2 linked regions of the Xenopus tropicalis genome follow. Each later gene encodes a partner of the first gene's protein in a complex. Links are inferred from orthologs where the notes say so. Each region holds a gene or a part of one and is shown on either strand. Other genes may lie near its edges.

Evidence for each region. Proteins that work in one complex are often made in the same cells at the same time.
Region 2: gtf2h4 (region 1) and polr2c share a complex: the UniProt entries of both Homo sapiens proteins name them as parts of the TBP-based Pol II pre-initiation complex. The link is inferred for Xenopus tropicalis from reciprocal best matches to the Homo sapiens genes GTF2H4 and POLR2C.

Annotation. Positions count from the first base shown.
Region 1 is NC_030678.2:143,601,456-143,605,415, forward strand, and holds the start of gtf2h4 (general transcription factor IIH subunit 4), read right to left. Parts: upstream 2,801-3,960; 5' UTR 2,705-2,800; intron 951-2,704; 5' UTR 847-950; intron 152-846; 5' UTR 98-151; coding exon 1-97. UniProt on the Homo sapiens protein: Component of the general transcription and DNA repair factor IIH (TFIIH) core complex, which is involved in general and transcription-coupled nucleotide excision repair (NER) of damaged DNA and, when complexed to CAK, in RNA transcription by RNA polymerase II.
Region 2 is NC_030680.2:76,284,864-76,288,820, reverse strand, and holds the start of polr2c (DNA-directed RNA polymerase II subunit RPB3), read left to right. Parts: upstream 1-1,157; 5' UTR 1,158-1,182; coding exon 1,183-1,268; intron 1,269-2,801; coding exon 2,802-2,851; intron 2,852-3,057; coding exon 3,058-3,126; intron 3,127-3,698; coding exon 3,699-3,751; intron 3,752-3,957. UniProt on the Homo sapiens protein: Core component of RNA polymerase II (Pol II), a DNA-dependent RNA polymerase which synthesizes mRNA precursors and many functional non-coding RNAs using the four ribonucleoside triphosphates as substrates.

The DNA of each region.
Region 1 (3,960 bases):
CTGGATGGTTGTACAATTGATCGAGCACCCCTGGGCTGAGTTCCTGAAGAAACTCATGCAAATTCTTACACTTCAGCTGTACCCGCTGGAGCTTCATTCCACAGAAGTCTTTTTGTTAGGGCCACTACAGTCTGTATCGTGCAATCAACATCTGTAGGCAAAACAGAACAAAGAATGGATATAAGCACAGTGTTTAACCTACAATTAATCTAAAAATGTAAATGTAAATAATGATCTTATAAAGTTTCGTTAAGGTTGAAAAATAAATAAATAAATTACTCTAAAAGCATACAAATATCACCTAAAAAAAACCAAAACCCTACCTTAATGCTGTTTAACCAAATGAACCCATATCCCTTCTAGAGGCACAATTAATATGTTCTGAAATCCACTTTCTGACTGGTCTCTGGTAGTCTCACTTTCTGGCAGCACTCACTAGTATTGAAGTTAGCATAAAAAGGAATCTTGTATTTTTTAGAGTTATGATTCCACACAAATTCTTTAAAGGGATCCATAATACTATTTTTTGTGAATAAACTTGGAGGCACCAAAGATTCTATAGTTCTACCCCTATTAAAGGTGAAGATTGGTTGGTAGAAATACGAGACTTTAGAATAGGGTCCTGTCTCCAATTGTTATGGACTATCTATCTTCTGTACACTCTCTCTCTGGAGAAAGTGGTAATAACCCAGGGTGTGCCCACTCTGACATTATGCCCTGATCAGCATAATTGCCACTCACAGAAAATTCTTTTTGTATTACAATTTTTTTTCACAATAATGTGAATTCTTAATAACATGCTTACAAACAATTTGTAATACAGTTGCTTTCTAGTACAATTCTTACCAAAAATGGTGCCAAGTGTTTCATTGGTTAGGTGATATTCTCATTCATCAGAGACATTCTTCTTGTTTCTCTAAGGATGGCATAGGAATTTCATGTTAGCAGACCTAAAACACAATTTACATTAAGTGATTAACAGGGTGCTTGCAGAGGGACAGGAGCTTCTATTGGTGTGTATGAATAGCTTCAGTTGATCACATCCTTTAAACTTTTTGTTTTGGGGAGGTAATTAATTTGGCCCTGAGTCAATTAAGGGTTCCCTTTTTTCTCCTGACATATATGCCAATGGTCTCCGCTTCAATGGAAACTCTGTTTCCAATAGCTAAATAATGTGATGACAAGAAACCAGAAAAAACAAAAATAAACCAAAAAAACCACATGTTACAGATGTGCAGGTCAGGAAAAACTCAACCCATCTCCCACCCTAACCTGCAAAACCTTAACCTGAACTTCGGGAGAAGAGAAAGAGTGCACTTCTTCTGACCTACACCCAAACCTGCAAAGGTCACCCAAATTTTAATCCTAACCAGCCTGACCTATGGGTAAACCCATGGGTTGCAGGTCAACCCGCACATTACTACTTGAGGTATAACACTTTATAACAGCCAACCATTACCCCATAACAAGGTTACAGTTATACAAAAAAAAACCTTAATATCACTCATCGTGCTACAGTACAGGTGTGTTCATGACATCCGATTGGGTGTTCTACAGGCAGAAAACAGTGGTGGTCAAACGATGGCTCAATGACCAGAAGAGCAGGAAGGAAAGAACAACTGCAGCTCCTCTTTACTTCCAAATCGGCCTAGGTACCACAGGCAACACAGTGCAGCAGCAATAGACTACATTTTCAAACCTGCCTGATCCACAAGCTTTGTGGATCAGCAACTTGCCAGCAAGTATGGAAAGTATCAGTATGGGTATTGCCAGCTTTACAGACACTGTCCACAATCTGGGGCTCGCCAAGCAATGTACACTTTCTTGCATGGGGGCCAGCTTATGTCTGGCCTGTGTTCCTCCAGCTGTCAAGACTCAGTTGTGGTTCTACAGAAGGAGGGCTGCAGTGTGGCTAGTCCCCTAGACCTGAGGGCTGCAGTGTGGCTAGTCCCCTAGACCTGAGGGCTGCAGTGTGGCTAGTCCCTTAGACCTGAGGGCTGCAGTGTGGCTAGTCCCCTAGACCTGAGGGCTGCAGTGTGGCTAGTCCCCTAGACCTGAGGGCTGCAGTGTGGCTAGTCCCCTAGACCAGAGGGCTGTAGTGTGGCTAGTCCCCTAGACCTGAGGGCTGTAGTGTGGCTAGTCCCCTAGACCTGAGGGCTGTAGTGTGGCTAGTCCCCTAGACCTGAGGGCTGCAGTGTGGCTAGTCCCCTAGACCTGAGGGCTGCAGTGTGGCTAGTCCCCTAGACCTGAGGGCTGCAGTGTGGCTAGTCCCTTAGACCTGAGGGCTGCAGTGTGGCTAGTCCCCTAGACCTGAGGGCTGCAGTGTGGCTAGTCCCCTAGACCTGAGGGCTGCAGTGTGGCTAGTCCCCTAGACCAGAGGGCTGTAGTGTGGCTAGTCCCCTAGACCTGAGGGCTGTAGTGTGGCTAGTCCCCTAGACCTGAGGGCTGTAGTGTGGCTAGTCCCCTAGACCTGAGGGCTACAGTGTGGCTAGTCCCCTAGACCTGACATACACTCCATATGAACTCTATAGCCACTCTATATTGTATTTTGGCAGCATGTGTAACTTCAACATACGAAACTTATATCCACAGGCACTTTACCAATTACTCATTACTCCAGATCAGAACTATGTGCAATGTGGACATTACGTTCTACACCTCCATAGCATGCAGCTTATAGGATAATAACAGTGCAACTGCGTACCGCTTACAGGGCCAATTTCCTTGTCACTGTGGCTGCTTAAATGTCCCCAACACCGCTTACATGTCCCAGGTCCTCGGCTCCTGCCGGGCAACTAAGGCTCAAGCGCAAGTCTCATCTCGCGAGAAGTGGCGTCACACAGCCAGTGTATCAGCGCAGTGACGCGGTACGTAGCCACGTTCGGCTAGTTCGGCTACGTTCTACTGTTCCAGTGAGCGTATACTATTAGTAGTGTGTGGTACTGTGTGCAGGGTATGGCCGGCTGCAGGCATCCACTCATAGTTTCCCTGTTTACAACTTTTTGACAGGGTAGAATTAAAAAAATCTTTTACGTTCTTTGTCCGTCACAGCCCTTATAAATACAATATTACAAAAAAATAGGAGGTTCAGTAATCATGTGTGCGACACAGGCTGCAATAATAATAAGTAATAATATAACCGCCAGAATCGCTGCTCCCAATAGTAAATCACACATGTAATGAGTTATGTCTTCTAAGAGCTCCAACTTGAGCCAGACAACAAAAAAAAGACTGAATTTTTTCTATAATCATACCACCACCATGAGAGCCTATACACCCAAGGTGCCCAAAGGGCCATGGACACAATTTAGGGACAAAACAAGGGCTTATTTAGGAGAAAATGTAATTTTGCGCTTTTAAAGGGTATTTTTTGCCACTCGGATTTTGTACACTAACCTGTAGAGCAGGGGAGGGCAAACTTTTAGGCTCAGGGGCCACATTGACTTTTAAAATTTGACAGTCGGGTCGGGCCAGCACCGTCTCCACTCGTCAGTCCCCTAGGTTTTGCGTTGCGCTTACATGCAGTCTTGACGCCAAGTCTTGCGTGATGAGACTTGCAGTGTCGGGGTTTGCTGAAAGACAAGATTGGGGACTGCGGTCTCTTAGGAAAAGTGAGACACACCAATGCTCGGCGGGCCGGATTAGTTTGCCCACCCCTGCTGTATAGCCAGGCCAAGTAGTACTGGTGCCCTAGGCAATACTGTCAGGCCAGCACCCTACATCCCCACTTCTTATTACCTAACTGGAGTTGCAAGCCCCCCTATTCTACTTTTTTTAGTTTCACACAGCCCCTGGCTTGCACTTCCCCTGTTCCTGTGATAATACCCCCTGCCCACTGCTAAGCGTGTCTTACCTTCTTACCTTTTTGTTCTGGCCCTGCTAACCTGCACCTTACTATTATGTACCAACACTCTTTAGGGGGTGTCACCATGTATGGATTGAGATCCAAAATAAGCCTTA
Region 2 (3,957 bases), on another chromosome or scaffold:
CATTTCCCAGGGTGCCACAGCCATGTGACCTGTGCTCTGATAAACTTCATTTACACTTTACTGCTGAGCTACAAGTTGGAGTGATATCACCCCCCTCCCAGCAGAACAAAGGGAAGGTAGCAAGATAGCAGCTCCCATTAGATATCAGAATAGCACTCAATAGTAAAAAATCCAAGTCCGGTTTTGGACTCCTCCAGTTACATGGGAGTAGGAGAAACAACAGATTGCCGAAAACAGTTCTAATGTGTAGTGCTGGCTTTTTCTGAAGACTCAGACACAATGCACTGAGACTGCTGCCTACACACCAATATTACAACTAATATCCTGCTGGGCCCCGCTAGACCCTGCTGGCAGCCCACCTCTCTCCTTTATGGCCCCAACCCACCCAGCACTTTGCTGGGCCCTGGCAAATTCATGCTTCAGTGATAAGCCCTAGCCACCTGCTCACCTATCCTTCACCTTGTTGGGCCCCACCAGGCCTGGCGACTATGTCCCGAAACAAAACCATTTTCGTGTTGAATGGGAGTTTAAGTTAAAAATGGTCATGTGTTCCGCCATCTTTAATTTTTTATGCAGGCAAAACTTTCAGAGGTGGCGCAGGTAAGAGAATGAGGATCTAAGGAGCAATAGAAGAACAGATATAATTGTCTTTGACAGAACAGGGCAAGCAGCATGAAGGCATAAAGAAGAAAGGTTTATGACATGCCTGAGATAAATGTGCTGATACCTACTTGCTGCATTCATTTTACTGGCATGTGTAAAGTTAATACTTACATTATCAATTTCTGCAGGTCTAGAGTAAATGTGATCATAAATTATTTAACGCAGTGATCTTAAGTGTATGTCTGGGTAACTATAACTAAAGTGTGTGGCAAACGGCATAAAAATGTTGGCACCATGCTCAGTGCATTTTTAGACCCCAAAGTTTCAGATTTACCGCTAAAGCCCCATATTTTGTTGCAATATACTTGAGACATGATCTACAATGTTAGGTGATGGGTACCAGGTGCCCCAGTCCGACACCGCCTTTAACTAGTCATCCTGATCGTTAATGATCCATATAGAACTCAAACTCTATTGTTTGTAGCCACGAAAGGCAACCCCTTTCTGTACGCGCTTGATCTCTGTGGTCTCCGGTTCTCAACTTCCGGTTTCCGGTTTCTAAGTTGCTGTGTTGAGAGGATGCCGTACGCGAACCAGCCTACAGTGCGGATAACGGAGCTCACTGACGAGAATGTCAAGTTTATCGTGGAAAATACTGACTTGGCGTAAGAGACCTTTGACTGTTATGGCAGAATAATGGGTTTAATTGCTTTTTTCAGAACGATGTGTGGTGTGCATGTTGCATACTCGCTGCCCCAGACTGCCTGTCTCTCGAATCCCAATTCCTGAGACCCCCACATTTATAATGAGTGGTAAAGTGCGAGGGAATGGTTAGGTGGAAATAGAGTTTAGATTTTTATTTTTCCAACTTCGGCTAGGTATGATGTGGTACTTATTCACCATTGTGTCATGTATCTACTTTGTGTTATTCTGTTGTTTCTAATTATCCTAAAAGTGTAAATAATAGTGTGACTATATCACCATATGATGACGTATGTCATGCTGGGTACCACTGGTTTCCTGGACGCATCTCTTCTCTAAAGGGCAACTAAAGACATGATAGAGGTGTGACAAGTTGGCTGTTAGGCGTATGTAACCCACATATTGTACATCGCTGCAGAATATGTTGGCGCTTTATAAATAAATGTTAATGTAATGTAATCACTCCTTCTTTGGGTTCCACTATTTTCTGGTGCTTCTGTATGAAACTGTTTCATTTCCCTCAGGGTCACCTGTTTGCATGGATGCCCATTCTTCTTTTTAACCTTTTTTGATTGAGAATATTTATTTTTGGTAGTTCTTTTAACCCTTTTGGTTTCCCATGTGTTCAGGAGCAACTTCTAGTTCACCTTTTGTGTCTGTTAGTAGATTATATAGTGCCTGGCACCTAAAGGGTTCATTTAAAAAAAAAAAAACTGCATGTTTTCATACCAATATCGCTAACATACTTTGTAAAGGAGACATATTGGATAAATGGGAAAAACGCTAATTTTGTAGGCAATTATGAATAATATACGGTTCTGGTTTCTGTTTGTGCTAAAAATTAATCTTCTCTGTAAAAATGGCCCCTTTATTGGAGCTCCCTAGTGTGAAATGAAGAATGGGCGTGTCCTAACAGTACCTGCCAGAAGCACAGTAGGAGGGGGAGAGCCAATCACAGCCCTGCACTCAGACAAGCAAAGACAGGCTTCAGTTCCCTATCAGGTCAGCCTAGCTGCTGATTGGTTCCTATCCTACAGTGCAGTGTACGGAGGGCCGCCGGCTCCCCAGCTCATCCAGAGAATTCAGCCAGCAGGAAGTGGAACAGATGGGCGGGGCTAGTGGGGTTTTTGTGGAATTTCTCAATAAATCAGTCTGAAACACAACATTATTAAGCACAATCGTTCTATATCTAGAGGAGTATAATTCACTATAATTCATTCATAATTTTTATAGGATATGTCTCCTTTAAGAGGCCTCAAAGGCATAAAACTAAATTTAGAATTAGAAGAAATGGAACACTGCTTCCCATGTAAGGTAGTAATCATGCTGCACTTGATTTTTTATAGAACCATTTTTAGGAAATGTGTATTTGAGTGCTAAAAATATGCAGGTATTATTGCTATAAAATAATGAGTAAAAGGAAAAATTGTTACACTTGTTCCTCTGTATAAGCAGCCATTAATTATCTAATACTAATAAACCTTTTTCTATTTCAGAATTGCTAACTCGATCCGTAGGGTGTTCATAGCAGAAGTTCCTACTATAGGTATGTGCTCTTGTCCTGCATAAGAAAGGTTAAAGGGCCCTTGTTCAGCATGATTGCAATAAAGCTTACCTGAACAGGAAACACTCAGTGCAGTGTTTGTGAGCATTAATGTTTTATTACATTAGATCTCAAAACCCCTTGTAATGCATTCTGGTGCCCCTTACATTAAAATAACACATTTTTGTTGTTTATGTTTTATTTTACAGCTATAGATTGGGTGCAGATAGATGCAAATTCCTCTGTTCTTCACGATGAGTTCATAGCTCACAGAGTTGGTAAGTACTTAAAGATAAATTTACATTGAGTAGCAGGGCAATATTTCTAGTTAAGGCTACTTGCACTACTAGCAATACGTTGTCTAGCTTGTTTTGCCATTAGGGAGAAACTCCAGTTGCTATTGTACAGCGCTGCGGAATATGTTGGCGATAAGTGATACTGACAAGAAAAAACTACTTTTTAAATTATGAATCTACATAAAAAGTTACCAATAGGTCATGTTGATCAGTTTTTGTTGATAGGTTTGCTTTTATTAGCAATTGCTACTTAAACCTGACTGTTTTCCCAACCTGACTGTCCCTTCTCAGCCTGTCAGTTATAGCTTCTAATGCTAACGGACTCCTGCTGCACAAATATGGCCGCTCCCTCATAGAGGGACATGGGAGATCAGATAGGTAATGTAAAAGCATCTTGCAAATACTTTTATGGCAAAATTATAAAGCTCATGAAAAGACAGTGTTATGATAGATATAAAAAAGGTTTTTTTTTCTGGTGTCAGTATCTCTTTAATAATAATAATAGTGCAAGTGTGTTATTGTCTAATTCTGCATTTCTCTCTCTCTCTTTTTAGGATTGATCCCTTTGACCAGTGATGATATAGTAGATAAACTGCAGTACTCTAGGGTAAGTGCTTTGTATTTGAAACTAATTAAATCTATTTTAAATTAAAGAGGTTGTTCACCTTTCAAGGTATAGTGACACTTTCAGAGTTTTAACAGGAATGCGTTTCTAGACATCCATACGTTAATAACCTGTGTTGGTCTCTGGCAGGGCTTGGAGTTCAACAGCTTTGTGAGTGATGGAGTGCTTGGGGGTGGGACAAGTTTTTG